4 linked regions of the Alligator mississippiensis genome follow. The protein of the gene in region 1 purifies or fractionates together with the protein of each later gene. This does not show direct contact. Links are inferred from orthologs where the notes say so. Each region holds a gene or a part of one and is shown in the gene's direction. Other genes may lie near its edges.

Region 1 (7,980 bases):
AGCACTGAGGGCAGGGAGTACTTAAGTAAGCGATGACCACGCATTGATCGGGAGTACTCTTTGAGTAAGGAGCGAGTGAGAATTGAACAGGGAGTACTCGAGTAAGGGACGAAAAAACATTGAATAAGGAGTGCTCAGTGCTCCTCAAGTAAAGAACGGGAAAGGGCTGAGCAAGGAGCACCCCTTTGTAAGAGATGTACAAGCACTGAGCAAGGAGTAGTCCTTGAGTAAGGGAGGAATAACTGACTGCAGAGCAAGAAGTACTTGTGTCAGGGATGAGTATGTGTTGAACAGGGAGTGATGATCACTGAGTCGTGAGTAGCACATGAAGGAGTATCTAATATGGATAAGTAGCTGCTGGATAACGAGCGAGCAGCAAGTCACCATGAGCAAAGACAAAGAGGCGGGTCGGGATTTCCACCTGCAGAGTGCCCCTCTCAGACAGCGAAGGGATTGTCTAGGCAGCATTGGGCCTGCAGGGCTGGGCATGTTTTGCGGGCAGGGATCAGCTGTGGGGACTGCCTTGGACCCTGTGTATGGGCAGCTGGGGAGGAAGGTAATGGGGCTCTGCTCTCTGCACCCCCAGCAACGCTGTCTCCTGCCCTGGGCTCCATTCCCGCCCCAGCAGCTGCCAGCGCAGGGCAGGGAGGGGCGGGAGATGACGCACTGACATCTCTAACCACACACTCAGGTTGCCATGGGGACCAGTGACAGGATGTGGTGAGGCCGCTCACTGCTGAAATAGGAAGTGTTAGCTAACGGGTGTGTGCAGCCCTCAGCACGTAGAGCCTCCTCCTGGGACAGACCTGGTGCTCCTGGCCCTGTTAGCTCATCCCCTGAGACCCACTTGCCTGCCAGAAACCCCCCAAGGGACCCAAACCAGAGAAGACCTCAAGCTGGGTCCAAGCCAAAGGGGGAATTATGGGCAGTGAGATGCCATCATCTGTGGGGCTGGGACAGGGCAGAGTTACGGATCCTGTTTCCCAAGGGCCTGGAGAGCTCTGATTCAGATTGGATGTCTCTATCTTGAGCTCAGCCGTGCAAGCTGGCGGGATGCAGAAGGTGGAAGTTTGGAGAGATCCTACCTAAACATTGCCATCCCAGACAGAGGACACTGAGCCTCCTGCATCCTTGACTGACCTGTTAGCTAGAAAATATAATCCCTCCCCACCCCACCCCCACACACACCTTAACTCGTTTGCAGCATCCTATGTGTTTATATAGCAGACAGAGCTTGGAATTTCACCCCTGGTTAATCACCACTAAAGGGCACGGCACTAACCAGCTGCATCCCTGGTTAGCTGCAGTTACAACAGGCTCATTTGTTGTTAGCATCAGGCTGAAGCAGTTTCCTGGTAGATGCTCTCATAAGCCTCCTCTCAGACAACAAGGAGAATTTCACCCTGACTTCCCCAGGGAGCTTAGCTTTCCCAGATGTGAGCTGAGCCTGTCTAGCTCAGAGCCAGGGTTCTCTGCCTAGGGGGTGAAGCTGGGAGGGCCCCTGGGTCTAGCAAGGCTAAGAGAAAGGGGTTCAGGTACAGCTGATTTGTGGCTATGGGTGGTCTGTGCTGAACCACCAGCACTCAGGTGGGCACAGTGCCCTTCGGTAGGTTTTTGTGCAATGGGGCTGAGCAGGAGCATGCTGGAACTCAGGCTCAGAGCAAGGGATTGCCTTGGTTGGGTTGTGAACCTGGACACCAGGTCCAACAGGCACAACAGTGCCAGGGAGCTAGAGACCATGTACAGAATAGGACCCAGGTGTCCAAGAGAGAAGTCCAAGGCATCCTATCCCACACCTGTAGGGTCTATACTTCTCTCAGTGCACAGCAGGCTGCCTCCCCATTGCCCCAGCACTCCCAGTTGGGAAGGCTACCCCTGCCCCCCACCCCCAACTCACGCATTCTGGGCACTGCCACCCCCGATGAAGCCATAGCGATCAGTCTGGCGGTATGGGGGAACCCCATTGAACTCAGAGTCAGAGCCTAGTGAGCTGGAGTCCTCATGGTGCTCCAGGGCCAAGCTGAAGGCATCCGACAGGTCCTCCAGGGTGCTGTGGCTGGAGGAGTCAGCAGATGACATGGTGCTGGTCGCCATGCCCACGAGAGCACCCTGCAGGAGGGAGAGAGGGCCACAGTGAGTGTGGAGCAGGACAGCCCAGGACCAAGCACCCAAAAGAGACCCTCACATAGGCTCTCACCACAGCCCACCCCACTCTCTCCCCAAAGGAACTATCCACACCCCACCTCCTAAGCCTCCCCCTCGCCCCCCTAGGCCCTGCCCACCTATGCCCCTGCACCTCACCCCTCCAGACCTGCCTGTCCACAGCTCACACCCTCTTCCCTTCCTAGGTCTGTCCATTACAGGGCCTCCTTCCCCTATCACTTTAGTCTTTCTGTTTGGGGTGTTGCAGCCTCTTACCCACAGTGTCTACCCTGGGCGCCATTCCCCATGGGGTCTTCTTGCACAGCATCCCATGCCTTGTGCCCTCTCTGGGTCCGCCCATTTCCCCCAGCACCCCAGCACAGGACCCCATCTATGTGTGTTCAGTGTGTATGGGACATGCTGGGGCTGTCTTGCTGGCCATGCAGCATGTGTCCGACCCCTCACCCATGCAGGCTCCCCCACATCTATTGGCAAGCCCTCATCTCTAAATCTCCCTACACTCAGTGCTTGGGGAGTTTCTCAGAACATCCCCTCGCGTCTGTCCAGACACCCTGTGCTCCAGTCTTCCCCAGGATCCCACTCACCTTCCTTGGCCTCTAACTCGTGCCCTGCGCTGGGCTTGGGGGGCTTTCCTGATGCAGGATGCTGTGTCCGTGTGTCTGTCCCTTGCTGGCACCTCAGCCCCGGCGTGCGCCTTGCAAGCTGATTTCCTTCCCACAAGTCATTTCCTCCTGCACCTGATACTGCTGAGGCGGCAGGCAGTGTGTGTGTGGGGCGCAGGGGCCCATGGGAGAGAGCACGCAGGGAGGGGGCAGGTCCCCTAGAGAGGCAGTGCATGGTGTGGGCAACCGTCCTAGGGGGGGACACATGGCACAGGATGGTGGCAGGCACCCTGGGGAGTGCATGAGGAGGGCAAGGTCCCAGGAGTAAGCAGCCAGTGGGCCTGGGACTCGAGGCAGAGGGCACTCACTCTTTCCTTCCACCTGCTGACTGAGGCAGTACTGGAGTGACTGGGAGCTCCTCCCACAGCTATCACCCCCTACATGGCACTGTGCCAGGGGTGCAAGGCAGACAGCGTCACAGGGGGTTGTATGGTGGTGATGGCCTTAAGATCATGAGCCAGGCATTGACATGGGGTGCTGAGGGTGGTGCTGAGCCCCCATGGCAGTGTTGGATACTAGCAGTGGTGGGCAGTGCCTGCAGTCATTGCCAAGCAGTGGTGTGGGGGTGGGAGCCTCCTGCTGGGCACTGGCACTGTCTGACCCCTAGTGACACTGGGTGGCAGCCCTAGGCATGGGTGGATCTAGGATTTTGAAAAGTAGGGTACAGGTGGTGTGGCACATTGTCACATACAACACAACACTCTTTTTCTCCAACTAAAGGGAAACTAGAAGCTTTACTAATATGCTACGGGGCTAGTATGACAGTATTCAATTTGAGATCCAAGCAAAAGTAAACAGGGTATAACTGCTGGAATGTGCACTGATTTCCTAGATGATAGGAAACTTTTATCTTTAAAAAAGCACAGTAAATTTGACAAAACACAGTCATAGTCAAAAGGTATCTCATCAGTCACAAAGCCATCACAATTCAATCAACCCAAGTCCAGCATTCCTGAGCTTCTTGACAGTGCCTCCAGTACCTCACTGTCAATCACCTGAGGTAGTATGACCACACAGAGGTTAAAGTTTTTTGGCTAGAGCGGAAGAGTCTGCGAGGCTGTGATCCAGAAGAAAGAGGTGACTAGGCCTCTTCTGGATTAAGATCCAATGTAGTCCCTGCACTGGTCTGCTGCCGGGGCCGAGATCACTTTTGAATGGCAGTGTGCAATGGTGGGTGCATACCTGTGCAATGCACTGAGGACAGGACACCTTATGAGAGTCCACTATAGCCTCCCAGTGGGATGATCTTGGCTACACACCTACTTTATAGAAATGGTGGACACCTCCTAAGGGCAAGCGAGACTCGGGGACATCTGAACCCCAAGACCTCTGGGCTTGGGCCTGTACGTAGGATGCCAGCCAATGGATTTGGGGGTATCTGAAGCCTCAGGCTGAAGAGTCTGGGATGGAGGATACAGTGGTAGCGCCACATGGATTTGAATGACTGAGTTCGGCTCAATTGATAGGCTTTGGAACTGATTTGGCAAATTCAACCTGAAATATGAAATTAAAAAAAATTAAAAAGAGAGAGAGAGGCAACCAGGCAGCAACATTGCAGAGCAGTGCTGTAGCAATGAAGTTTGGTGCCCGGGGCAAAGCCCACAGCGGCAGTTTGCCTTTGCCCTGCGCACACATCTGGGGGGCACACGCCTCCCACCCCAATGCTTGCCCGGGAGTGAACGCAGCGGCGAGAGCCATCCTCCCTCCATCCCCCCCAAAATGAGCCACTTGCAGCTCCGTCCCACTCCCCGCCCCGGGTGAGCAGCACCTGTCAGTGCCCCTTCACTTTGGTGCCCAGGGCGGTTGCCCTGCTCACCCCCCGCCCCCCTTGCCCCAGAGGATGGGCTGGGGCGCAGGGTGGCCAGCTGGTTGTCCCCTGCCCTCTCTTGATACGAAACTGGACGCCTTTACGTCCTCTATAGAAAACTCGAGGACATAGAGGCGTCGGGTTTCGTATCAAGAGAGGACAGAAGTGTCCTCTACGGCGGCCACGGGGGAGCCCGGACCACTATGACCCCTGCACTCACACGACCCGCCGGCTGGCTGCAAGGACACCCCCAGGCCGCAGCGGGTGCTGCGCAGCGGGGCGGGGCGCGAGGCCTGGCGGCTCGGGGACCCAGCCCCGCCCCGCCCCGCCCCGCCCGCAGATGGGGCGGGGCGGGGCGGAGGCAGCAGGCGGGGGAGCGCAGGCCGGGCCGGGCAGCCATGGCGGACGGCGAGAAGCTCAACCTCGACTCCATCATCGGCCGCCTGCTGGAAGGTGCCGCGGGGCCCGGCCGGGGAATTGAGGCAGGGCGCGAGGGGCGGCCCCCTTGGGGCTCGCCTGAGCCCGCGGGGCGGGGGGGCACGTGCTGCAGGCGCCGGGATGGGCCTGGGGCGGGCGGCAGGGCTGCGTGTGCACATGCATTCGGGTGGGCGTGGGTGCTCACGCGCGTGGGTGGGTGGGCGCCTGCATGTGTCCGTGCGTGCGGGGGCGGGGAGGCGCTGCCCCCCCCCCCCCCCCGGTGACCCGCCCCCGTGGGCCGCCCCGCTGCAGTGCAGGGCTCTCGGCCGGGCAAGAACGTGCAGCTGACGGAGAACGAGATCCGTGGCCTGTGCCTCAAGTCGCGGGAGATCTTCCTGAGCCAGCCCATCCTGCTGGAGCTCGAGGCGCCGCTCAAGATCTGCGGTGAGCCCCAGGGCCCACCGCCACCCTTGTCCACGCATCTTGTCCCCCAGCCCCAGCCTTAGGGCAGTGGGTTCCCCTGCGGGAGGTTGCAGCGTGTCCTGGCTGGTGTTCGCAGGGATCGGAGCGGTCCCACCTGCACCTTACTCTCCATTGCTCCCCCCAGTCCAGCCCTAAGGGTGGAAGGTCCCCCTGCGAGAGGTCCTGGGGGTCTCTTGCTGAGGTGGGCTGGGTGTGGGGATTGGAGCAGCCCCCCCACCCCCACACACACACTTCTTTGTCCCCTATTGCCACCCTCACCCCATTTGTGGGGGTGGTGGGTTCCCCTGTGGGAGGTCTTGGCAGGTCTTAGGAATCCCTTGTTGATGCTGGCAGGGTAGGGGGGTCAGAGTGGTCCCCTGGCTCCGGCTGCAATCTGGGGGATTAGGGGAGGAGGATGCGGGATCTCTGGGCAGGGCTGGTAGGGACAGCATAGGTTCCCTGCTGGGCTGGGGGTCTCTGGGTAGCTGGTAGGGAGGTTGGAGAAGGTCTGTGTACTGAGGGTGCCATTCCCCCCTGCACTCTCCAGGTGACATCCATGGGCAGTACTACGATCTACTGCGGCTCTTCGAGTACGGGGGCTTCCCACCTGAGAGCAACTACCTCTTCCTGGGTGACTACGTGGACCGGGGCAAGCAGTCATTGGAGACCATCTGCCTTCTGCTGGCCTACAAGATTAAGTACCCTGAGAACTTCTTCCTGCTGCGCGGCAACCACGAGTGCGCCAGCATAAATCGCATCTATGGTTTCTACGACGAATGTGAGTGTGATTTCACCCCCCTCCCCCTGCCCCTATCTACCTGGACGCATGACTGTTCCCATTTGTGTCTGAGCCTGGGCCGTGCTGCGAGTATGCAAGCATCAACTGCATTTGAGTGCTAATGACCCTGGGCCCCCACTATTGCAACCTCTGCCTGCCTCCAGGTGTGAGCATACACCTAACTGCAAATGTGCAAACATCAACCACGCCTGTGCCTCATACTCGCATCCCTGCAGTTGAGGGTATCAGCTGCATCTCTGTCTTGTGCACCAAATTTCTTACCCTACCACACTCCCAGTCACAAGGGTGCACTCCCCAGCTGCAAGCATGTGGGCATGTGCTCTGGGGGCAGCTGATGTGGTAAGTGTGGTGCCTTCCAACTATGAGGGGGCTGCTTGTCCCATCTCCTATGGTGGCCCAAACCATGTGACTCTCTGACCTGGGTCTCCCTAGAAGGGAGTGTGCACCCCGGGAAAGGCAGATACTCTTAGGTGGTGGGAGCAGAAGGGGCTGCTGCTGTGGTGAGGCTCCCATCCCAGATATTGTGCTTTGCAGGCAAGAGGCGCTACAACATCAAGCTCTGGAAGACATTCACTGACTGCTTCAACTGCTTACCCATTGCTGCTATTGTGGACGAGAAGATTTTCTGCTGCCATGGAGGTGGACAGTGCCCAGGCCTCTAGACCTTGTGATCGGGAGGGGGAGAGGGAGTCCTTTCCCTTATGAGGCACTGCTGGGGTGGGGTTTGGGGGGAGAGGCTCCGCAGGGCTGTGTAGGGGTAGAGGGTTGCTGTGGGGGGGTCACTGGGGATGCTCTCCAGCAGATCAGCACCACCCCCTGCTGGGGTATGATGTCTCACAGCCTTATCCCCCTTTCTTCCCAGGGCTGTCCCCTGACCTGCAATCAATGGAGCAGATCCGGCGGATCATGCGCCCCACGGATGTGCCAGACCAGGGCCTGCTGTGTGACTTGCTCTGGTCCGATCCTGACAAGGACGTGCAGGGCTGGGGCGAGAACGACCGTGGCGTCTCCTTCACCTTTGGCGCTGAGGTTGTGGCCAAATTCCTGCACAAACACGATCTGGACCTCATCTGCCGGGCACACCAGGTACCCTGTACCCTGAGATAGAGCCATATTAGGGGAACTCAGGGGTGGGCTAGCAAGGGGTTGCGGGTCAGAAGTGAAGAGCAGAGCTGTGAAGAGAGCCTGTGGTTGGGATGGCAGAGAGCTATAGCGGAGGAGGCAGAGCCAGGGCTCCTGTGTGGGTTCCCTGCATCTGGCAGAGGGAGGGCTAAGTTGAGTCCTGGTGCCAAGCCCTTCGTTGTCCTTCTGCCTTAGGTGGTGGAGGATGGTTATGAGTTCTTTGCCAAGCGCCAGCTGGTGACACTCTTCTCAGCCCCCAACTACTGTGGCGAGTTCGACAATGCAGGTGCCATGATGAGCGTGGATGAGACCCTCATGTGCTCCTTCCAGGTGAGCCTCAGGCCAGGGCTCTTCTTCCCCACCCCTCCCTGGCAACCATGGCAATGAGCCAAGCTCTCACCCTACGGACACAGGCTCAGAGCTGGGTAAGGGTTGAATTTCCCTTCCCCTGACCCTGCAAGCATCTGCCTGTCTCCTGTAGAAAACCTTGATGAGGGAGGAGTTGGGTCTTGGAGTGGGGTTTCAAGAGACTCCCAGGGGCTCTGAAC
Region 2 (7,936 bases), on another chromosome or scaffold:
TGGCACAAGAACCCCAAAGATAAACTTAATCCCAAAGGGAAAGCCCAATGCCCTTGGGCTTTTCCAAGCCCTACAAGGAAGCTGGTAACTTTAGGGGGGCTCCTCCCAGTGGGACTTCCCCCACAGGGGAGGAGGAGTCCTCGCTGGTTAGTTAAGGGCTCCTGAAAGTGGATCATCTTTTCCCTGCAACTCATGGCTCCCAGGCCTGGAGGGTGGCCCTCATCCTCTGTGCCAAGCTACTCTCTCACCTGTAGTGGGCTTGGGGGGAGGGGGTGCTGTCCCCTAGAACAGGGCTTCTCTATGCAAGGCTTCTGGGGCCTCTGGCTTGGTGCCATCTGGTGGCTCAGTAGCTCAAACACCGTCTGGCTCCTTGGATTAGACCTTTTGCTATGGGTCAAAGGCCTGGGCTACCTCCATTCAGCGCCTCCTGCAATGAGCTCCTAGCCTCATTCTGGGGGTTGAGGACCTGAGCCACCCAAGCGCTCCAAAGGTCCTACTCCATGCACCAGCCTGTGCACCATGACTCTGGCCACACACCAGAAGTTGCAGACCCAAGCCGCTTCACGCAGCTCCCAGGGTCTGGATGCCATGCTGCACGCCGAAAGCCTAGCTGCTGGAGCCGTCCGCCATTCCCCACTGATGGAAATCTTCAGGGGTGCTCCTGGGCTACTGCTTCACCCTGCTGAGCAGCTCTCCTCAGCTCTTCTAGGCCCTGATCTTCTCTGTCCCAGATGCGTTTCCCCTCATGCTGGGCATGTAGCTCCTTTTATACTCTCCAGGGCTCTGCCCCTGAAGTCTTCCAGACCTGAGTGTTGCAGTCTTCAATCAGGTCTGAGAGGGGGAGGGGGGGGGGAGCAGCTCCTCTCCCACTTCTCTCAGGAAAGGGGAATGACTTAACTCCTTTTGCTGCCTCCTGATTGGTAGATGGGCTCCACCAATTAAAACAGCAAGTTTTCAAGCCTGGGACTCAACCCAAGCTCTGAAAGGCAAGCCTGCTACACTAGCAAATGTTTTGTTAATAAGATACTTTCCAATCCTCTGGAATTTGGTTTCTTCTCCAAGTCCAGAGCCTTCTGGCTCCTTAGAAAAACAAAGCATTTTCACTTTACCTTTCCATCAGTCTCTGTTGCCTGGATCCTAGTCCTTTTCCTCCAGTGAAAACTCCATTGACTACTTGCTGGTCTTTGGGTTATTTCCCCCCCCCCCCCAAAATCACTGATGGCAGTAGGATGAAATTGACATAAAAAAAAAAAAAATATTATAGTCCACTGCTCTGGGACTAGCCTTGTGCCCTGGTGCGAAACTAACCAGATTTGCTAATTTCACCCTGTTGTGGCTTGGCAAAGCCACGAGCAACGCATAGTAAAGCTGGTCACCCTACAAGTTGGTGATGCTTTGGCAAGTTATATTCTGTTCACATTTGGATACAACCATAAGGGTTATAAATGCATTTAGTTACAGGGTCCAGAGGTAAAACTTAATGGAACATTATAATGGAGCTATGCTAATATACACCAGATAAGGACATAACTATAAATCTTCATATAATCCTATTCATAATATGTATACCTTTCAATTTCGTACTGTTTGTATTCATAAACTCATGTTGGGAACAGAAGCCATCATATTAATATGGAGAAATGACTGACCAACACAACAGTTGATGAAAAACTGGACAGGAATAGATGAGATGTCAACACAAAGATCATTTTCATTCTAAGGACTCTTGGAGGCCTCCTCCCTCCCAAAGCAACGATTTATAACACCAGTTGTGTGACATTTCCCAGCTAAAAGAAAAAAAAATTAAGTACGTCAATCAACCAGTTGTCACTGGGAGTCCATGGTAGATGCATCTGCTCAGTGCTTCTGCAAATTAGTCCTTGAATCCAGAGGTGCATAAGAAATTGTTCGTTTCCCCTATCCAGTCATGCACAACTTTACCAGTCCACACAAGCAGGTTGCTTGGTCAAGTGAATGCATCTCTCCCTTTCATGGGCAGAGGAAGGAGGGAAGTCAGACAAGGGACTAAAAGCAAGGTCTTTTTTGTCAAGAAATATATAGTTTGTTAGGACTTTTATCCTTGCTGAATTTCTGTTATTATTTATGGTTGTCACGGTGGGGTCCTGCAGGAGGGCCGTGATCTCCTCAAGGCCCCCTTCTTGTGCCAAGTTGGCCCAAGGGCACCCTCAGATTCTCACCCGCCACGTCTTTGATGGAGATTAAATGTATGGGAGGCTGCCTTATGCCCTCTTGGTCACTTCTTAGTGGTGACTCAGACCCCGTGGTTTCCCAGACCCCTTGTGGGTCCCGTTCTACAATGGGTGCTTCCGGGGCACCCTAGCCCTATGGGCTATGCATGGCTCCAACCACCCCTTTCACCACGCCCCAAGCCTCGCAGCTGGAATAGACATTGTTCAGTCTCCTTCTGTCTCCACTCCCTTTCTGGCACTCGGGCTCTTGACAGCCCCATCTCTCTCTCTCTCTCTCTCTCTCTGTGCCCCCTCTCGGGGCTCTTCTCTGCAATGCCACCCCCTTCTCCAGGGCTGACCACGCCCACACTGGGGCTTCTCAGCAATGCCCCCTCTCTGGGGCTGGGGTCTGTGCACCCCTAATGCTGCACCCTTGCTGGCACTGGGGTTCCCACACTACTGTGTGTCCCCTATGAGGTCTCCTCCAAACCCTAATAGCCTCACCCAAACCACCGGTGATAAACAGCAACACAAAATGCAAGCCCATCGGCTATAACTTAAACAGAAGCCACCCGGCTATAATCATGCTTTGCCTACCAGGGTTCTTCATCCCACAGCCAGGTCATGTGCTGCTCCTTCAGCAGGCATCTCCTCTCTTCCACAGCAAAAAGCTCCTTCCTCCAGGGCTCCTGACAGGGACTACCTCTGGTCTTAGCTCCTAGGGTTTATAAGGGAGCCAGGCCCTACCCCTTTCAGTCAGCTGACCTCCCCTGGTTGCCCTGGCAACCCACAGCTGGGCTCCTTGTTCCCTGCTAGGGCTCTTTCCCCATCAGTTTCCCCTCTTCACGAGCAGGGCACCTAAGTACCCTGCGACAATGGTCTTCATTGCTGTACGAGACATAAGAGGAAGAGATTATAACTGAAAACTCTGACCTTGCAAACATATATGCCTGTGTTTAATTTAAACACCTGAGTAGTCCCATAAGGCTCCTTAAACTGCAAACTCTGCAGATGACTTCAGTGGGGATACATGCAAGTGCAATGCCCTGCTTGCATGAAGTCATTTGAAGGACTAGAGCCTCAAACACACAGGGAGAACAGACTATGTTATGGAGCCTAAAGAAGGATTAATTTGCAATATTACTCAAATGCAAGCAGGAATAATCACAGAACACCCTCTAAAGAAAAAAAAATCTATTGTTTAAAGTATTAAAAATAATACAAAAGGATGCAAAAAAAACCCAATAAAAAATGCTTTTCTGGGTTTGGACTTTTTATTATTCTTATAACTATTTCTCTACAAAAATAAATAACAAAAATATTTTGTTGCTTTTTCTCACAGAAAAATATTTCCCAGCTTACTGTTAGCCCTCTCCTTCTTTAAAAACTGGGACTTATATTTACAGAGTATGTGCTTGTACAGTATATACATAAATACACTCATGTGCAAAGGTTACATCCAGTGATATGCAAAGGTGAACGCACAGAATGCAGATAACATCATCAGGGTTACACCTAGAGAAAATGATGTAACCCCGGGGGGTAGGGGGGTACATACACACACAAATACGCACACACACCCATATATATATTATACAGGGTCTTCATAAAGTCTGTATGCACTTTTACACTTTAATAACTTAGGTTGTAAGTATAATAGAAACAATCTATAAATGGCATTTAAAAGCAAATTTATTAAAGTTTTAGGACAACTAGAATACACAATGTTAGACTTCAACATAACCACCATTTTCTTCTCACAGCTGATATGGACTTCAATTCTGCTACCCATACGACAGTTTACCTTCTCGTCTACAGTAGCCATTTTTTGTTTGTCAAAGGATCTGAAATAAGAACTAATTCATTATTACTTATGAAGTCTACCATTGTGTACTCTAGTTGTCCTAAAACTTTAATAAATTTGCTTTTAAATGCCGTTAACAGATTATTTCTATCATACCTACAACCTAAGTTATTAAAGTTTAAAAGTGCACAAGGATTTTATGAAGACCCTGTATATATATATTATACTAATAATTGGCATTTAAGGGGTTGAGATATAAAATGTATGCTGGTGGGAGTATGAAGGCAGCTGATAAATCTGGAAGGAGGTACACAATAAGAAAAAGTTTCAGAACCTCTGCTCTATATGTATATATCCTCTCTCTATATATTGGGGTGGAGAACCCCAGTGGCTATATATATATATATATATACACACACACACACACGCGCGTGTCATCTAGTCCGTGTGTATAGAGTTGTGTATATACACACGAACACCCACGCTGGGACTCTCCACCCCACTGTGTGTGTGTTTGTGCATATCTACACCCCTCTTCAAAAACATGTATATATCCCCTATATGTATCTATCATCTGTCTCTCCACACCCACACGTAAACACACTCCGGTGTATTCACACACGCACGCCCACACACAGCAGTACACGTACATGCACACGTACACGCGCGCGCGCACACGGGTGCGTCCTGCTGAGGCGCCCCTTGTAGCAGTCGCCGCGCTGCCGCCATGCCCCGGGCGCCTCTGTGCGTGTCCGCCCTGCACAAGCGCGTGCTCTCTCTCTCACACACACACGTACTCACACGCACTCTGCCCCCGAAGCGGCCCCTGCCCTCAGCGCGGCCGCCACTGGTGCTTTAAGACGCTCCCACAATGCCGTGGCGCCCGGCCCCGTTACCAGGCAGCTCGGGCCGCGGCAGGGCCGGGAAGGGGCGGGGCGGGGCGAGGTGCCCCGCGCACAGCTGAGGGGAGCTGGCAGTCGGGAGCCGTGTGGGCAAAGCTGAGGACCCGCTGTGCTGGAGCCGCCGCTCGCGGTGAGTGTGGACTCGGGACGTGCCCTCCCCCGTGGCCCCCGGCCGGCCCTCTCCTCTCCTCTCCTCCCCTTCGCCCCTCGGCTCTTCTCCGTCTCCCCCAGCTCCTTTCCCCACTTCCCCTCTCTTCGGTTTTTAACAGCCCCCACCCTTCTCTTCCCACCTCCAACTTTCTCTTCTTCCTGGTATTTTTCACCCCTTGCTTTCTCTCTCTCTTTTTTTTCTATTTCCTTTCCACCACCCTCAGTTTCCTCTTCTACCCTGTTTCCTCCTGGCGGCTCACCCCCCCTCTCCTTCTCCTTTCTTTCCCAGCTCCCTTTCCTCCCCTCTTTTATTCCCCCCCCCCTTTTTTTTTTGGTATCTCTGTCCCTCTCCATACAGCTCCCCTCTTAAAAAGTCAGGGGTGTTTTCCACACCCTTGGCAAGACAGTTTCGAAGCCACTTTTACCCATCAGGAGAATGTGTAGCTCTTTATTTTTCTTTTTTTTTTAAACTTCTCTGGGCTCTCTCTTGCCTTCCCCCAGTCACCCGAATGAAAACAAAATGAGTTTTTCTTCCCAAAGTGGATTGTGTTTTTGTGTTGGCTCCCCCCCCCTCCCCCCCCCCCCCCCCCGCCCCTTGCTTCCAGACAGCCAGGATTTATTTTGTGGTTAATCTTTTTTTTATTTCCCCGCCTCCTAGTAGGAAAAAGATTAAAAGTAAATCCGTCCTGCCTGTGGGGAAATGGATCAGATTTTAGGACTGGCTGCTAGGAATGCTTGAGTGAACGGTGTCTGATTTTGATCATAAAACAGCTTTAAGGCTAGGCAGGCGGGTGGTGTGGGTTTTTTTCGGTCATTGGTCGATGCAGCATTGAGTACATTGTAAACTTTGTGGAGACCGAGATGGGTTTGATTTCTTTTTTTTTTTTTTTTTAATTTCCAAGTCAGTCTTCTGATATGGGCCAACCCATCTTTCTCCACAATCAAATGTCATTTGGAGACAGCAACAAAGCTTCACATTAAATTGCAGCTCTGCATTGCTCGTGGATTTGATTGGTGTCCTATGTAAAAAAGGAGAAATATGGTGCACATTTTGTTGTGCCTTACTGAATTGCACCTGTCTCCTCTTCCATTTGAGTCTTGCACAGATCGCAAAGCTTGGCATAATAATGATCAGAAAAAAGTCACTAGAAACTAATTGAATACCTGACCAAATATATTGTGGGTTATGAAGTCTGGCTTGTGCTTTACAAGTGGCTGCATCATCTTTCAGCAGCATTGCTTGTTAAAATTAAATACGCACTGGACTGTGGAGAACTGCTAAATCAATTACCCCTTGATTTCTGGAAAGACACCTGGATTAAGATGATTATTTTCTTAAATTTTCAACTGATTTTGTATATGCAGCGCTATCCCTACTGTATGTATATCTTTGGGAAATGTAATCAAATTGGACATTAATTTGGTGCCGCTTCATATCATGGGGTCGGGTCTGCAGATGGGTAGGTAAAGAGTTGGGGGTGCTTTTTTTTCCTCAGTGGATTATATTGTGTTTTTTAAAATACATTTAAGTTAGATAAGTTAATTGACAATATTGTTTGTAGTGTCTGCATAATTTTTAATATAAGACAAAATGAGGCTGTCTTTGGGGAAGGGGAAGTGAACAGAAAAAGACTATTTTTCCTCCACGGAGTTTTCAAAAACACATGCTCCAGCAGGATAAAACAACTGTGTAATACGGTTTCTACAGCTACATGAGAACCTCTAAATCGGCCCTTCCCATCAAATAAAAAAATCCTTATAGAAGCTGCCCCTAGTTGCTTAGATTGGTAAAAGATGGGTCTTTCTCTGTGTCAAGCTTTCTGGAGACAAAAGACAAATTTGTGAATGGAATCATAAGAAACAGATGGAAAGGCAGCAAATGCTTCTGGCAACAAGTTAGTACATCTTTTTGGAGTCTGGTGGTGCTGTGTCCAGAAATATGAACAACCTGACAGAGATGACTAGCAGCTTATTTTTGATCCTTCCTTGAGGGAAGCTTTGAAAAGGGATGTAGTATTAAGAGGGGAATGAAATCTAGCTTTAAATGAAATGCAGGACTAGGGAGTTGAGTTTCTGTGCCTGTTTGCTGCCATTCCATGGCATGTGACCTTTACCTAAACTTCACCGTCTGCCCCCCTCACAGGATGTTGAGTTTTCCAGTAATGACTCTAAACTACTTTTAATACCATTTGGTGAAAATTCTTTGGTGCAAATGTATCAGTCTGTTTTTTTGCCTAACGGTTGTTTAGGAATGTTAGTTAAGTAGCCCTATGGATTCGTATATTAATATTGGCTCTTGTACGGTTGGGAAAGCACAAACCTCTCTTGTGTACACAGTTAATGTTGTGCTCTGACAGCAGTATATGTGTGAGCACATGGGGAATTTTAACATTGGCATACTGTTATGGAAACCGACCTTCTGCTCATCCACAGTGCAGATATTAGTGCAAGTTTTCCCCATAGTGTGCACCTCAAGCCACTCCTGAATAGGCTGTTTAGTGCCTGGCAGAAAGGAGACCTATTAGTTAAGTGTGGAAAAAGTACTGAGACTCCCCTAGCTTAATACACAAAATTCCTGAGCAAATGTTTTTCCTTTGTAGATACTATAAACAACATTGCCTACTTCAAGCATTCGAAGCCTTATAATCCAGACTTCCAAAATCATGAGAGGCTTAGAAATTGTGAGGGTTTTCTTTCCCCTTTTTGGTGGGGAGGAGGGGCAGGGGTATACTTTTCTTTGCCTCCTTATTTAAGGTGTTTGTTGTTGTTGTTGTTGTTATTACCTGCTTGCGTCATGTTTTCAAGCTAGTAACTTCTCCTTTCTTCTTCTAAGAAAGCTGAAATTCCTCTCCCCCTCCTTCCTCTGCAATCTCTTGATTCCAGGAGTCAAA
Region 3 (6,989 bases), on another chromosome or scaffold:
CCTTCCAGCCTAGTGTCGGTCTAACCTAGAGGGATTAGGCCCCTTGTCTGGTCCTGTGGGCTGGATGAGTGGCACCGGGCCAGTCCACTGGCTGGATCAGGCCCACAGACGTCCCCCACCCACATGCCCGATCCAGTGCATATAGCACCTGCCCGGGCTGGTTTGGGATGCCAGCCCAACTGTGCATCCCCTGTAACACAGCCTGGGACCTGGTCCCAGTGAGTGCCATGGGTGGCACGTGTCCGTGGTACTCTGCACAGGGTCAGTCTGGCACAGTGCATGGGTTAACAGGGCAGCACCAGGGGCTGGATGATGGGGCTCTGTAAGCTGGATCTGACCCATGGGCCGGATGCTTGACATCCCGATTCAACCTGTACGTATTCCACGGCCTCTCTCAGTAATCCTCAGAGGACAGTGAGAACAATTGCTCACCATCCTCTTTACAACCATCTTATCTTGCTTTCAAAGATTGTTCCCTAGGCCTCCCTTTCAGTCTTCTTTTCTCCCTCTTGGCCTTCTCTAAATTGTCCCAATTTTCCAAGCGCTCCCCATTCATGTTTAGTGATGAGATCCTGGCTTTCTGCTCCCACCCACAGTGTCCATGGCGTTCTGCCTGTCCCCTTTCTAGGAGGCACTTGTAGCACAACCCACCAGCAAGCTCCATACACACTCCACCACAGCCATTGGGTGAGTTTATGCAGTGGGAGCATTAATGCGATGCCTTGGAGAGTTTGTTCAGCCACAGCCCCACATGGATTGGGTTATCTGCGTGACCTGCACCCTCAGGAACAAATCCCCTTTGTAGTCAATGCCTTTCAATCCTGGCTTTTCTCCACCTCGGAGGAAGTGAGAGAACCGGGGACACTTGCTGCTCGTCAGGGGCCGGTTCTTGCAATCTTCATTCAGATTAAATTCTCATGGCACAGGGCGGACGCATTATTGTGTTTGGGGTATTTCCAGCTCGGGTACCTTGCTCTTTGCTGTAGCTGTGAGGTTAGGCAATTCTAGCTGGCTGGTAATTCCCCCCCACATAACCATCTTACATCTGCCATTCTCCCACCTCACTTGTTCTCCATCAGTCCCCAGAGATGGCTGCAAGGAGACTTTGGAGACTCCTCTCCTCAGGTCCTCAGCCCCTTCCCAGAATTGCATCTGGCCCTGCTGATCATCAATAGCTTCTCGCCTATTGTCCTTTGCTGGAAGCCCCCTGAGACCGCCGGCTCCTCATTAATGCTGATCTCCCTCAGGTCCCTGCTCCCTTCAGCCTTTGTGCGGAGAAGGGCGGTGAAGCGGCATGGCAGCCTCTCCTAGGGCTGGAGTGCGCTTCCCCCTGCCTCACCGCATTCACAGGATGTTTTTTGTCCCCACCTCATCCCTGATGGACACTTCCACTTAACCTTCCCCCTTGCCTCATCCGGCCCCTGCTGCTCTGCACAGCCACCCCGCACCCGGGCCTTGTGGTTGCTTTTATTTGACATAATCCTCTAATTAATAATATGCAAGGCTCAGCCTTTCCAAAGAAGGGCAGGGATATTAATGAAGTCTCTGGGAACGGGCTAATTAACTGCAATGATCCCCGTTTTACTGATAGGGAAGCTGAGAGTCACGGAGCTGGAGGGGTTTGCCCCACGTCACAGAGACAGACATGGGCAGGCAGGGTTTTACCTCCGGGGCTCCTGGTTGCACACCCCCTGCTTTGCCCATCACGTCGCATGGCTGCCTTCTCCTCGTGTTAAAGAAAACCTTGAGTTTTTATAAAAGCCTTTGTGTTCTTCCCTGTAGCTGGACATTTCTGATGAGGTACTTTTGCCCTTGTATGTTCTCTAGAGGAGATACAGGGCAGGTCGGTAGGGGTATGGGTTTAGGGGTAGCACCTCTTTGGAGGAGCGTGCGATTGCCATGCCCTTTAAGAGCCCGTGCATAGCTCCTGCACTGGGTCCACTGGGCCCTTTGGATTCCCCTCCATAGACTATGCTTGTGCCATAAAGAAGTACGGCTGGAAGGACCCTCCAGAGGTCTTCGGAGCACACCCCGGTGCAATGCGTGTGCCCCTTCGTGCGCCATGCTCCTTCCAGATGCCGCTTGTGTTGCTTTGGGTGAATCGTGATACCAGGCTGGACACCCGCTGCGTGCCTCTCTGTCCCGACAGGGTGCGTGTAGACCCTTTGCAAAGGGCCAAGTTCTGCTCTCGGTTCCATCAGTGCCTACCTGGACGAGCTCCACTGACAACTGTGGGGATCCCTCTGGATCATCAGTCGCGTGGCGGTGTCAGGATGCTCCTCTCACAGACAGGACCCAAAGCAATGCTTGGCTCAGTGCCCGCCTGCAGTCGGAGGTGGCACAACGACTAGACTGCAGCAGGTGCGGACCCCCCATCTGAAGACATGAACCCCTTGCAACAAGGGCCGAGAGTCGAACAGCCTGTCCTCGCCCTGCCACTATAAGGTGAACTTCTGTTTCCAGAGGCCTTTGGTCCCTGCAGGCTGTTTTCTGGGTCCCTCAACACAGGGAGAAGGAAGAAGCCAAAGGCCTGAGACCCCACGTGGCCCTTCCCAGCTCCCCTGGGAGCCCTGGGGCAGCTGGGCAGGCTACATGCCCCACACGGGCTGCTGAGGAAGTCAGCTGGGCTCTGCATAGGGATCCAATAGGAAGAGAAACCAGTCCGGCCCATCCATAAATGGCTTGTTAAGTCCCACACAATTACCCCCACCCAGGTAATTGCAGAACTGTGCTCTACAACTATTTGCACAGTTCCCCCTGCTGCTTTCTCCTCCCCGGTGTTGTGCCATGTCGCGCAGGGAGGGTGACACGCATTTCCCTGGGGAGATAACGCCCTGACCCCCAACTCTTCCAAAAAAGGACTCACTTTACAGGAAGGAACCGTTCAATGGCCAAACCCTCCAGGTTTCACCTTATATGAATGAATGTCCTGCACACACACACACACACTCAGGTAGGCCTTATTCACATCAAGTCTCATTGATTTCCTTGTGACTCAGCTGGCAGGGCAGGGCTGGGCCGTCATCAAACAGCACCCCCCCCCCCCCCCGCAACTCCAGATGCCCTGCTAACCCCATTCCCTACTGCATCGCATCCTCATCCAAATGCACGCTCAGCTTGGCGCCCCACTTCAGCAGCACACTGCCCATCCCCGTGTCACTTAGAAATTCATGTGTACCATTTTCCAGGGGCTGTTATTTTTGCTGAGAGCCAATATCCAAGGCACAACCTTGCTGCCAGGTTGAAGCCCGCGCTGCAAAACTGACAGCAGTCTGCAAGTCGAGGCCCACACTCCCCCACTGCTTCATTGACTCGATTTAATCAGTTCGTGTTTGCACCGCGTCCTAGAGAGGCGAAACGCTTTGCAGCCCCTCGGCTCCTGGCTCTTCGCGGGGTGACCTTGCCTTTGTTTGGAAACGAGTCTCCCGTACGATACCGAAATGCAGACTTGCAGAAACACAACCACACGAGGCCTTGCACCAGAATGGAAGAGGAAGCAGGAATTGGCAGGACCCCCCAAATCCCTGCTGCTCCGACCACCCCCATAATGGAAACCTGGGGACGGCATGGCACTGCCTGCCAATGCTCAACATCATCCATTTCCACCCTGGGCAGTTGGAAGGGGGTTAAGGGCGCGCTTTCCTGGGTACCAGGGTGGGCTCATCCTCCCCCTGCACTGAGTGCTGGCTCCCCAGGGTTGGGGTTTTTTTTTTGCACGTGCAATGCACCCCAAGGCTTGTTTTGCATGTGCAACTGCACCCTCCGGGCCCGGCCCGGCCCTGCCCCTTGCCCCCTGCCCGGGGGTGCCGGCCGGCCGGCGGGGTGCAGCAGCGGCCGCGGCAGCGCAGGGAGGCGCCGGGCCCGCGGGGGAGGGGGGGCTGCTGCAATGTGCGCGCGCGGCGGTGACTGAGCGCGCCGCAGCCAATCAGCGCGGCCCGTTCCGAAAGTTGCCTTATATGGCGATGGGGCCCGGCCCGCTCGGTCCTATAAAACCCGGCGCGCGCGGCCGGCTGCTGTCGCCGCGAGCTGCTCCCGCCTGCACCGCCAGCCCCAACCCCAGCACCGCTCGACGCCTGCAGCCGCCCGGTGAGCGCCGGGCCCGGGCCCAGGGAGGGGGGTGTTTGCAGGGGGGCATGGGTGCGGGGTTGCATGGTTTGGGAGGCTCCTGGGGTTGCAAAACCACCACCTCCTTGTACCCCGACTGTGCATGGGGTGTTGCAAAACCTGTACCCTAACTGTGCATGGTGGGGGGTGCTAGTGTTGTATGGTGGGGTTGCAAAACCTGCACCCCAACCATGCATGACTGGCTGGTGCTGGGGGTGTACCACCACCTCTTCCCTGTACCCCACTTGTGCATGGTGGGGGGTGCAAGGGGAGTGCTGGTGGTTGGGGTTGCAACACCAGCACCCTTCCTGTACCCCAGCTGTGTGTGGTGGGGGGCGAGGTGTTTGTAGTGCGTCTCTTAAGAGGATTTGTTGCCGGGCTGGGTGGGGAAGAAATGGTCAGAGCTGGGACGGAGGGGGTGTACCCACTGCTGGCCCTGCTGCAGGGCTGGAGGTGCCCGGCTCCCTTGCTAGGAGCTGGGCGCACGCGGTGGGGGTAGGGGAAGGCAGCCTTGGGTGCATGGGGCGAGCGGAGCAGCCGCTCCTCCCACTGCTGGGGAGAGGGTCTTTGTCTGGATGGTCTCTGGGAGGTGGCTGCCCCCCCATGCGTGGGGAGGGGCTGCCCGCAGCTGCTGGCGGGCGCTGGGTAGGGTGGGGTCTCTGCACCCCAGTGCCTGGCTCCTAGGCTGGGAGGCAGGGGTGGGGGGTGCCCTTTGCTCCAGCAGTGTTGTAGGGGAGCTGCCCTGGCACGGGGGCAATGCCCAGCCGCCCTGCCCCAGCTGCAGGGGAGGACTCCACTCCCTGGTGCCCTTGCTTGGCACACGAGGGTAGAAATGGGCTTGGCAGTTCACTCTCCGCTGGGTCTGAGGTGGCATTTGAGCCTGGCCGGGGCTGTGCCCCAGGGGCCCTCCCAGCTTGCAAGGACTGTAATGCTAGAATAACGCTCTGGCTGTTTCAGTGGGGCGTGGGGAGAAAGGAGGTGCTCCAGAGCCAACTTGCTGGGCAAGCTTGGCAGGGCGGGTCTGCTGCTGCCCCACTTGATGGAGCACAAAATGCACCTGTGCGTGGCTGCCTGACTAGTTGCGCTAGTCGGGGCTGCGCAGGGCGGGGAGCCGGAGCCCAGAGCAGGGTGTCGGGAACTTGCCCTTCGCAACTCCTCCATTGTCACGCCTGCCTCCAGACAGACACCCCCACAGCAGTGCTGGGAACAGGGAGTGGCCAGGCCCGGCCTCCTTTGAAGGGAGGGGAGTGGCTGGCAGCGAGCGGGGGCCCTCCCAAAAGCTGGCTCCACGCCGTGCCACTGGCTCCTTGCAAAGCTCGCTCTCACCATTGCCTTTTATGGTAATAATATGAGACTGGAGCAGGGACTTCCTTTGTCCCAAATCTGTGCAAAGGCAAAATATGCAGCACTGGGCTCCCCCTCGCGGCCGGCTGGAGAAGAGGCGCAGAGCAAACAGGAAGCTAGAGAGGAAATGGGTGGGGTAGGCGGCCGGGTCTGCAGCTCTGTCTTGGCAGGAGCTTTACCACATGGGGCTTTCCTCCTCCTGGCAAGACAGGATGAGCGGTGGTGCCTGGCAGCCCTGACAGACCACGGTCTAGGAGTGCCCACGAGCTACTCAGAGCAGCAACTCCAGCATGCTCACATTGTCTTGTGTTGCTTTGCAGTTAGTTCGCCATGGATGATGATATTGCTGCGCTCGTTGTGGACAATGGCTCCGGTATGTGCAAGGCCGGCTTCGCTGGGGACGACGCCCCTCGTGCCGTCTTCCCATCCATCGTCGGGCGCCCCAGACACCAGGTACGTGGGAGGGGAGGGGGTGCTGCCTCTTCTACGCTGGAAACGGTTTCCAAGAAATGGAGTGGCTCCAAAGACTCCAATTCCTAGACTGGAGAAAAAGCAACTCATTTCCGTTCTAGGGACACGTCCTTCCTTAATCAGTTGATGGCTTGGTTCATCCAGCAATTCCCCCTACTATAAGCCACTTGAAAAGCTGGCTGGCCCCTAGCCCAAGTAACCAGTCTGGTAGACGTGGTAGGATGTGGGTGTTTGAGTTTAACTAATGGTAGCCCCTTTTTTTATTATTATTATTTCTTCAGGGTGTGATGGTTGGCATGGGCCAGAAAGACAGCTATGTTGGTGATGAGGCCCAAAGCAAAAGAGGTATCCTGACCCTGAAGTACCCCATCGAACACGGCATTGTCACCAACTGGGATGACATGGAGAAGATCTGGCACCACACCTTCTACAACGAGCTCAGAGTTGCCCCTGAGGAGCACCCTGTGCTGCTCACAGAGGCTCCCCTGAACCCCAAAGCCAACAGGGAAAAGATGACACAGGTGTGTACTGTGGCCTGAGCCCCCCACCCTCTGCCACTTGGCTCTAGCCTGTGGGGAAGCTGCTGGCCAGCCCTCCTCCCTTCCTGTCTTCATCTTTTTTTCCCCCCCTCCCCTTTTTGCTATTCTTTGCAGGGTTTTCCTTTCCTGACCTGAGCCTTCTCTTTGCTGGATCTTGACAGGTTTTATTTGTTCTTCTAAGCTGGTTTCCTCTTGCTGCCTTGATACTACCAACTCCTCTAACTGCTGTTTCTGACTAGACACTAACTGTTCACCTGTCTTGAGTGATTTCTGCCATGTAGCTGTCTAGTTTTTTGGGGGGTGATGGAGAATGTGGCTCTCTGAAGCAGCTGTGTTGCACCTGGGCTTTTGCCCATGTTCTTAACTTCTTCCCAGGACTCGGACTTGGGTTGATGGGTTTGCTGTGGTAGCCCAGAACTGATTGGCATGGCCTCCCATTCCAGTGGACCCATGATTGTTGTCTCTGGGGACATGGGAATGGTCTAGCAAAATGACACTTGCATGACTTGCAAACAATCTCTCACGAGCCTC
Region 4 (7,587 bases), on another chromosome or scaffold:
TGGCGCTTGCCAGGGCACGGTCCTTTGATCAAATCCCCGGAGCTGGGATGCTCCGGACTGTAATGAAAACAAACTGGCCACGCTTAAAACACTGGCCTCATCCTCCCCCCCGCCCCGTGAAGGAGAAGTGTTAGCCGGTTCAAATTGCCGCAGGGACTGGAGGTGCATTCACGTTTAGATCATGCAGAGCTTTTCCTTTGATCACAAAATCATCAGAGCTGGGCTCGACCGGGGCCATTCCTGTGCAGTGACACATGTCCAGGAGCAGGAATTTAGATCGTCGTGTGCAATGGGATGGTGCAATGGGCTAATCATGTCTGAGACATTCGGGATAGGTTCCCAGCATGGTACTTTCCATGCATCTTCCTTCCCGCAGCACCTGAAGTAACCTGACTGATGATGACATGAGATTGGGCTCGCGCAAGAGTATGCATCTCTGATTCAGCTAGTCTGTAAGGTGCATCTCTACCCTTCCTTCTGCCTAGGTTCAGACTAACGTGGTTAACTACCTGTCTCTTGACTAATATCTGTCACGTACGGGCTACGTGCTCCAGGGAGCGTGTGGAGTCCTTTGGTAGGCGTTTGTGGCTCTTAGCAAAGGCAGGTCGGAGACGGGCACCTTTATGTTTGGGGCAGGAAGTCTGACGTTCGTGATGGCTCCTAGTTATCCCGGAGCTGCAGCTCAGTCCCCAGGAGAGCTGTTTCCTGTGCAGGCAGTCTCTAGCCATAGGATGATAACATCTTACATAATAAATCAGATTTTCTATGGTTAAAAAGTATCTCCATGCCGCAGCGCGGTGGGCTTGACTTTGTGGTGAAATGCTAACAGGATGTCTAAGATGATGATCAATCAAGCGCTGTTGTGACACGGGGGCTTTGTGAAACAGCGTGTTGCTAAAACCCTGCATGATAGCACCTGCGTTACAACAGGCCGTTGCAACACCAGCGCGGCGTATGGAGGCATTGTGTCATACAGGCAGCGTTGCTACATGCTGGCACTGCTCTTATTTGCCTAACCACGGGTTTTAGCCTGATGCTTCTGGGCAGGTTTTTCAGGCCCTAAGCCAGGGGCAAGCAATTATTTCGGGCGGAGGGCCGCTCACTGAGTTTTAGCAGGCCGTCGAGGGCTGCATGACAGGCAGCCAGGGGCAGATAAATATTCATTTTCTAAATTTTTAGGGGCCCCGCGGGCCGGATAGAATGGCCTGGCGGGCCGCGTGTTGCCCACCCCTGCCCTAGGCACTTCCCCTGAGTTCCCCTGAGATCTCGCATCTTTTGCTGGCTCCGTGTGCCACCAGCGAACGAGACGGTGGGACAGAACGGAAGGAACAACGTTGTAGATAAGACGGGTGTTATGTCCTAGAGTTGCACTTGAAACGTGGGGAACGGTCCTGATTTTCCAGCAAGAGTGTGTGCGTTGGGGTTGGGGGGGCAGGGGCAGGGGCGGATCCAGGGGGTGTACTCGCACCCCACGTTGATTCCTGCTGCACCGGAAGTTTAAAACCAGTTGCCTGGCTGTAGCAGTGGCATTTCTTTTCAGGCAGCAGTGAGGGAGTCACTTTGTGGCACGATTATCACGTTATAATCTACCCGTTCCCTTCTCAGCTCTTCATGCCCGGGTGTTAACGACCCTCGCTTCTTTGTCTTGCCATTCACAGAATCATGGAAAACGAGGGCTGGAAGGGACCTTGGGCGGTCACATCTAAGCCAACCCCTGCTCCAAGCAGGGCCGTCCCCGGCTCCATCCTTCGGTGCCGTCGTATTCAGTCCGTACCAAGAAAAGGCTGTTCCACCAGTCAAGCTCGCTCATGTTCTGCCGTTGGGCTCTCTGTTCCCTGCGCCTGGTAAGGAAGCTGGTGTTTGCTCATTTGTAACTCCTTCCAACAAAGTTATGCGTTTGAGCTCCCAGCTTAAACTGAACACCACAGCCCAAGGCCCCCGGCATATTTGTAAATCCAGGGGATTTTTAACTGGAGAAAACGATGAGTTGTGGTCTCTGGCAGCATGTCTCAACCCACGGGTCGTGACCCAAAAGTGGGTTGCAAGAATACAGGAAAGGGTTGCAAACAAACTTTCAAAACGGATTCTCCTTTCCAGGAGGGAGGCGTGGGTGTTCCCTTCCAGACTGGCAGAGCTCCAGCCTGCAAGAGGCTGCTTGGGGCCCCCCCAGACCTCTCACACGCCACCCTGCCCCGCGTACTCACCCTCTGCCCCACGCGCGGGGGGCTGGGGTTGGGGGGCAGCGGGTCGGGAGTGAGGGGCGCTGGGTTGGGACCAGCCGTCGATGTGTGCAAACAAGTGGTGCAAAGAAGGCGGAGAACCACTGGTCTATGGGACGATGCATCTCCCCACGTGCAACCCCCTTTCCAGAATCCCGGATCCGCCAGCGCCGGGGTGTTTATCCAGCTGAAAGGAGGATGTGGGAGTTGGGACGGGGTGGGGGCAGTGCGTCGCAGAACCCCCCGGCTCTGCAGCTGCTGGAGCCCAGAGGACCTTGGCGACACGTTACGTACATGACGCAGTTCTTCAGTGATTTGTGCAATACGTTTCGACCAGCCCCGCATGCAAAGGAATGACTGCAGGATAACAATGACTCCCCAGCTGGCAAAAGGAGGCAGCCAGCTCCCAAGGCAGGGCTGGAAGAGGTGCAACCACCTGCCTCGCCCTTCACCGGGCCGACGAGGCAGCCCCTAGGGCTTGTGCCAGCGGCCGCCGGCAGGGGGCAGCAGAGACCTCTCTTATGGGAGGACTACATCTCCCAGGAGCCTTTGCTTCTGGGGCCCCACATACAAAAGCCGCCGACTGGTGTGGGCGTCCCTGCCGCCGCCTGTCACCCGCGCGCCATAAACGGAGCGGCCTGGGACGTCTACCCGCGGGCGGCGGGGCGGGCTCGGGAAGGTTGGGGGCGCCGCGCCGCGGGCGGCGGTCTCAGGCGATTAGCGCGGACACCCGCGCGCGGGGGCCTGAGCGGCCAAGCGCATGCGCAGTGGGGCCGGAGGGCGGCACGTGCAGGGCATGGGCGGCGCGGGCGGCGGGGACGGGACTCGGCCCTGGGCTCGCCTGAGGCCTTCCTCCTCGCCTTGCCTCAGTTTCCCCCCCTTCCTCTTCCTCCTTGCTTGGCTGGCTTGTCCCGTGCTGATGCCCAGAACCTCTGTGTTCAGGCCCCGGTAGACATGGCTCCCAAGGACACCCTGGAGGAGTCTTTTGCGGAAGACCTGCTGAATAACCTCACTGAGCACTAAGCGAGTCCGGTGCGTGGTACACTGGAGCGAGCTGGGCACGGTCAGCCGTGTCCTGGAGCTGTCCGGGGCCCCAGCCCTTGGCACAGCGTGCCCTTGGTGCCCGCACCCCGCGTACAGCTGCCCCAGTCTTTCCTGTACCCGTGTGGCAGGAAACAGTAGCTTTTGCAATCGCTTGCATGCCCACTCTTTCTCTGATCCTGCATTATTGAGATCTCCCTGCTTCCGTATTTCCAGCTGGTTCCAGAGCATGAGATCCATTGCTGGAGGCAGAAATAAGATCCTCAAGAAGCAGCCCAGGCCGTGGAGGTTCCTGTCCATCCTCCGCTCGTTTGGGGACCAGGAGCTACCACCAGTTCTCCCTCCCCGGCTGCGAGCCAGCGGTCAAGAACGCTCGCCCCCTTAATCTTGCCTTGCCTTTCTTTTCCCCGCTGGAGCGTGCGTTCTGCCCCCGCTCCACCGCTGCAGCAGAGCGAGATCACCACGGCGCGCGTGGAAACCCTGCATTTTTACGAACCAAAATGATGCTCTTCCCACGCTCTCAATGGCCTTTGCTAATGCACTGGCTTCCCTCGAGTACCAGGGTGGCAAGATACTCTCATTCGCGCCGCGACTGGGTGCTCTAGTGGTCCGGGGTCGGTAGAGAAAGGTAACAGCTCCCCTTCCACCCACTTTCTTTCTTCTTTTAGGAGATGGACATAAACTTCAGCACGGATTCGGTGTGTTTGAAGCCTTCTGGTAACGAAGCTCCTTGTCCGCAGCCCTGCAGACTGGTTTAAAATCCTTTCAATAGAGTGATATTTCCTTTTATCTCCATCTTAAACCAAATGAACGTCGCCCACGGTCTCTGGGGTTTTCCTGAATCTTCTAGTATATTTTTAAAGGGGAGAGAAAAGATGCGCCGTGTCTTACGGGATTGGCGCACCTCCCCATATGCAACCCCCTTCCCCAAACCCTCGCTCTGCGCTGGTGGGGGTGCTTATCCATCTGAAGGGAGGATGCCTGGAGAATCCCCCTGGCTTGGCAGCTGCCCCGAGCGACCCCAGGCCCTGACGACGTGTTACAGATAAATTGCACTTAGCGGGTGACTCGCGCATTCAATTCCGAGCAGCGCCGGGCGCAAGGGGTAAAACTGCCCGGCTGTAGAAACGGGCGGCCCCACGGGGCTCCTGCAGGGGGCGGCAGAGGCCTCTGTTACGGGAGAACGACATCTCCCAGGAGCCTTTGTTCCTAAGGACCCCTCCTCTCAGCCAGACGCTGGCGTAGGCATCCTTCGCACTGCCTGTCACGCGCGCGCCTTAAATGCCGCCTGCCCTGTGCCGGGCAGGCGACTAGTGCGGACACCCGCGCGCGGGGGCCTGAGCGGCGGCGCCTGCGCAGTGCGGCCCGCGGGGGCAGCATGGACGACGAGGAGGAGACGTACCGCCTGTGGAAGATCCGCAAGACCATCATGCAGGTGGGCCAGGCCTCCCCCCCCCCCCCCCCCCACACTCCTCGTGCCTCAGTTTCCCTTACCCCTGCCATCCCTGTGCCTCAGTTTCCCCCCCCCTCCTCCTTGTGCCTCAGTTTCCCTTACCTCCTGCCATCCTCGTGCCTCAGTTTCCCCTCCTCCTCCTCGTGCCTCAGTTTCCCTTACCCCCTGCCATCCCTGTGCCTCAGTTTCCCCCCCCTCCTCCTCCTTGTGCCTCAGTTTCCCTTACCCCCTGCCATCCCTGTGCCTCAGTTTCCCCCCCCTCCTCCTCCTCGTGCCTCAGTTTCCCTTACCCCCTGCCATCCCTGTGCCTCAGTTTCCCCTCCTCCTCCTCGTGCCTCAGTTTCCCTTACCCCCTGCCATCCCTGTGCCTCAGTTTCCCCCCCCTCCTCCTCCTTGTGCCTCAGTTTCCCTTACCCCCTGCCATCCCTGTGCCTCAGTTTCCCCCCCCCTCCTCCTCCTCGTGCCTCAGTTTCCCTGCCCACCCCTCGTGGAGCTGACGGCGCCCGCTCCCCGCAGCTCTGCCACGACCGCGGCTACCTGGTGACGCAGGACGAGCTGGACCAGACGCTGGACGAGTTCAAGGGGCAGTACGGCGACAAGCCCAGCGAGGGGAGGCCGAGGCGCGCCGACCTCACGGTGCTGGTGGCTCACAACGACGACCCCACCGATCAGATGTTCGTCTTCTTCCCCGGTGAGGCTCCGCGGCGCTTCTCTGTTAGAAACCCGGCGGGGGGACGCACGCTCTCGTAAAGGAAACGGACCCTTCTCCTAAATCCCGCCTGGCCTGATTTTTTTTTTTTTTTTTTTTTTTTTTTTTGTTCTTCTCAGAGGAGCCCAAGGTGGGGATCAAGACCATCAAGCTGTACTGCCAGAGGATGCAGGAGGAGAACATCACCAGAGCCCTCATCGTGGTGCAGCAGGGCATGACGCCGTCCGCGAAGCAGGTGCGCCACTGCCCTGCCCGGGGGCCGGCGGCCTTCGGGCTCTCGGGGGCCGACGCGCCGGGTCGCGCCTCCTTCGCGGCGACCTCGTGGAGCACGTCGGTGCCGTAAAAGCGGCGACCGTTACTTGAGAGGCCGAGACCGGAGCCCGGCGCGCGGGCCGGGGCACTGCTCTTACCCCGGAGGGCGGCGCTCGCGGGCATTTTGCTCGGCCTCTGGGTGGATGGTGGGTACACGGCAACAGCGAGGATTGGGCCCCTTGTAGCTCCCCCGCCGTCCGCCCGACGTCTTACACATTGGGAGTCGTGAGTGTTTTCAGTACTCTGCCCAAAAATGTCGCCGCCCCCTGCCCTACGGGGCAAGGTTGAGCTTTGCTTTTTTGTTTGTTAAAGCCGGCATGGCCTGAAAGGCGCTTGCTTGTTATGTGTGGTGAGGCCGCGGTGCAGCATCAGAGGCTGGGGTTGCAGTTGTGTGAGGAAGTGGCTCCTGTGAGTTTCCTTTACGAAGCAAACAAAGAAGCACCTGGCGTAGATGCGGAGGAGTCCGTGCAAACGTACACGATGGCCTGGCCCCAGAGGCGTTCGGGGGGGGTGCAGTGGGGATGGACTCGTGGCACGTGCCTGTGCTCGAGTCCGGTCCTTGGACGAGCCCCGCTGGGCACAGATACCCTTTGGATTCAGCGGAGGTTGCTCGACTATATCAGCAATTACTGCAAGGCTCTCCATGGGTCTTACTTAATATGCCACAGAGATGACCCTGCTCTTACAGATCAGCTGTGTGAGGGGTTCTTGATTCGGCTCGCTAGAAATACCTAGGGAACATGCCACGGTTGTACTCCCTGCAACAGTCTCTTTCCTACCCCTCGGGGGTTTGACTTGAGCAAACTTTGTATTCTGCAAGGTACAAGATACTGCTCTTAACTCCTTGTCAGCGAAGCTTGCAGGCAGTGAAGTGCGTTACTGCCCAGATACTGCGGTAGTGGGCCAGGAAAATCCCAGCAAGAATGAGACTCGTTCCCTTATCGCGGCGTTGCTGCCCAAGAGGGACAGAAGAAGTGAGGAGGGTGGGAGTGATTCAAGGAACGACAAGAGGAAATGTGACTAGAGCAGTAGGGAGCAGAAGGCTTAGCAAGGGGAGAAGTGGGCAAACGTCAGGCTGTGATGGGGGAAGTGGTGCTCACCTGTCTGCTGCTGGTGGAGAGGTCTGTTACCCACACCTGCGCATGCCCTTGAAGTAGCGAAGGCAATATGATGGGAATGGCATACTCTAGCCCCAGTCTGAATAAACCCGGGACCAGCTCAGTCTGGTGCGCTGGGCTTGCTAGCCCATGCTGATGTTCACTCTCTTTCTTTCAGTCCCTGGTAGACATGGCTCCCAAGTACATCTTGGAGCAGTTCCTCCAGCAAGAGCTGCTGATTAACATCACTGAACATGAGGTGAGTCCAGTGCCTGGGTACATCGGTGTGAGCTGGGCATGGTCAGTCACATCCTGGAGCTGTCTGGGGGCTCCAGGCCCTTGGAGCGGTGTGCTTTTGTGCTGTTGGGTGCTGGCATTGCATTTAATAGCTACTCCAGTCTTTCCTAAGCCTGTGTTCCTAACACTGGTCACTACAGGAAACAATGTTTTTTGCGCTCACTTGCATGTGTTCGTTCTCTCTCTCTTTCTCTCCTTGGGTTATTGAGATTTCCCTGCTTCTGTACTTGCAGCTGGTTCCAGAGCACGTGGTCATGACAAAGGAAGAAGTCACTGAGCTGCTAGCCAGATAGTATCCTTTTGTTTCTGAGCCTCCCTGAAGCCCCTGCCAGCACAGATGTGCTTTGTGCTGGAAACTACCACACTTGTGGTGTATACAGTAGTGCTTTTATTTGCTGTGAGCCTGCAGAGCAGGCAGCAGGCCCAGCTGATTTACCCCACTGGTGATTTTTCCTTCAC

Evidence for each region.
Region 2: the proteins of PPP1CA (region 1) and RASSF8 purify together in Homo sapiens (affinity purification with mass spectrometry; 3 studies listed by BioGRID and IntAct, counting the BioPlex papers as one, with this or other methods). This does not show direct contact. The link is inferred for Alligator mississippiensis from reciprocal best matches to the Homo sapiens genes PPP1CA and RASSF8.
Region 3: the proteins of PPP1CA (region 1) and ACTB purify together in Homo sapiens (affinity purification with mass spectrometry; 3 studies listed by BioGRID, with this or other methods). This does not show direct contact. The link is inferred for Alligator mississippiensis from reciprocal best matches to the Homo sapiens genes PPP1CA and ACTB.
Region 4: the proteins of PPP1CA (region 1) and POLR2E purify together in Homo sapiens (affinity purification with mass spectrometry; 5 studies listed by BioGRID and IntAct, counting the BioPlex papers as one, with this or other methods). This does not show direct contact. The link is inferred for Alligator mississippiensis from reciprocal best matches to the Homo sapiens genes PPP1CA and POLR2E.

What each region holds. Positions count from the first base shown.
Region 1 is NC_081825.1:176,233,011-176,240,990, reverse strand, and holds the start of PPP1CA (serine/threonine-protein phosphatase PP1-alpha catalytic subunit), read left to right. Parts: upstream 1-4,977; 5' UTR 4,978-5,030; coding exon 5,031-5,085; intron 5,086-5,361; coding exon 5,362-5,493; intron 5,494-6,058; coding exon 6,059-6,289; intron 6,290-6,844; coding exon 6,845-6,949; intron 6,950-7,172; coding exon 7,173-7,396; intron 7,397-7,627; coding exon 7,628-7,762; intron 7,763-7,980. Other genes in the region: TBC1D10C (carabin), read right to left, coding at 1,898-2,094. UniProt on the Homo sapiens protein: Protein phosphatase that associates with over 200 regulatory proteins to form highly specific holoenzymes which dephosphorylate hundreds of biological targets.
Region 2 is NC_081827.1:128,470,802-128,478,737, forward strand, and holds the start of RASSF8 (ras association domain-containing protein 8), read left to right. Parts: upstream 1-4,935; 5' UTR 4,936-5,025; intron 5,026-7,936.
Region 3 is NC_081836.1:53,263,999-53,270,987, reverse strand, and holds the start of ACTB (actin, cytoplasmic 1), read left to right. Parts: upstream 1-3,978; 5' UTR 3,979-4,086; intron 4,087-5,768; 5' UTR 5,769-5,778; coding exon 5,779-5,901; intron 5,902-6,200; coding exon 6,201-6,440; intron 6,441-6,989. UniProt on the Homo sapiens protein: Actin is a highly conserved protein that polymerizes to produce filaments that form cross-linked networks in the cytoplasm of cells.
Region 4 is NC_081839.1:2,967,191-2,974,777, forward strand, and holds the start of POLR2E (DNA-directed RNA polymerases I, II, and III subunit RPABC1), read left to right. Parts: upstream 1-4,576; 5' UTR 4,577-4,638; coding exon 4,639-4,695; intron 4,696-5,229; coding exon 5,230-5,404; intron 5,405-5,541; coding exon 5,542-5,657; intron 5,658-7,009; coding exon 7,010-7,090; intron 7,091-7,361; coding exon 7,362-7,420; intron 7,421-7,587. UniProt on the Homo sapiens protein: DNA-dependent RNA polymerase catalyzes the transcription of DNA into RNA using the four ribonucleoside triphosphates as substrates.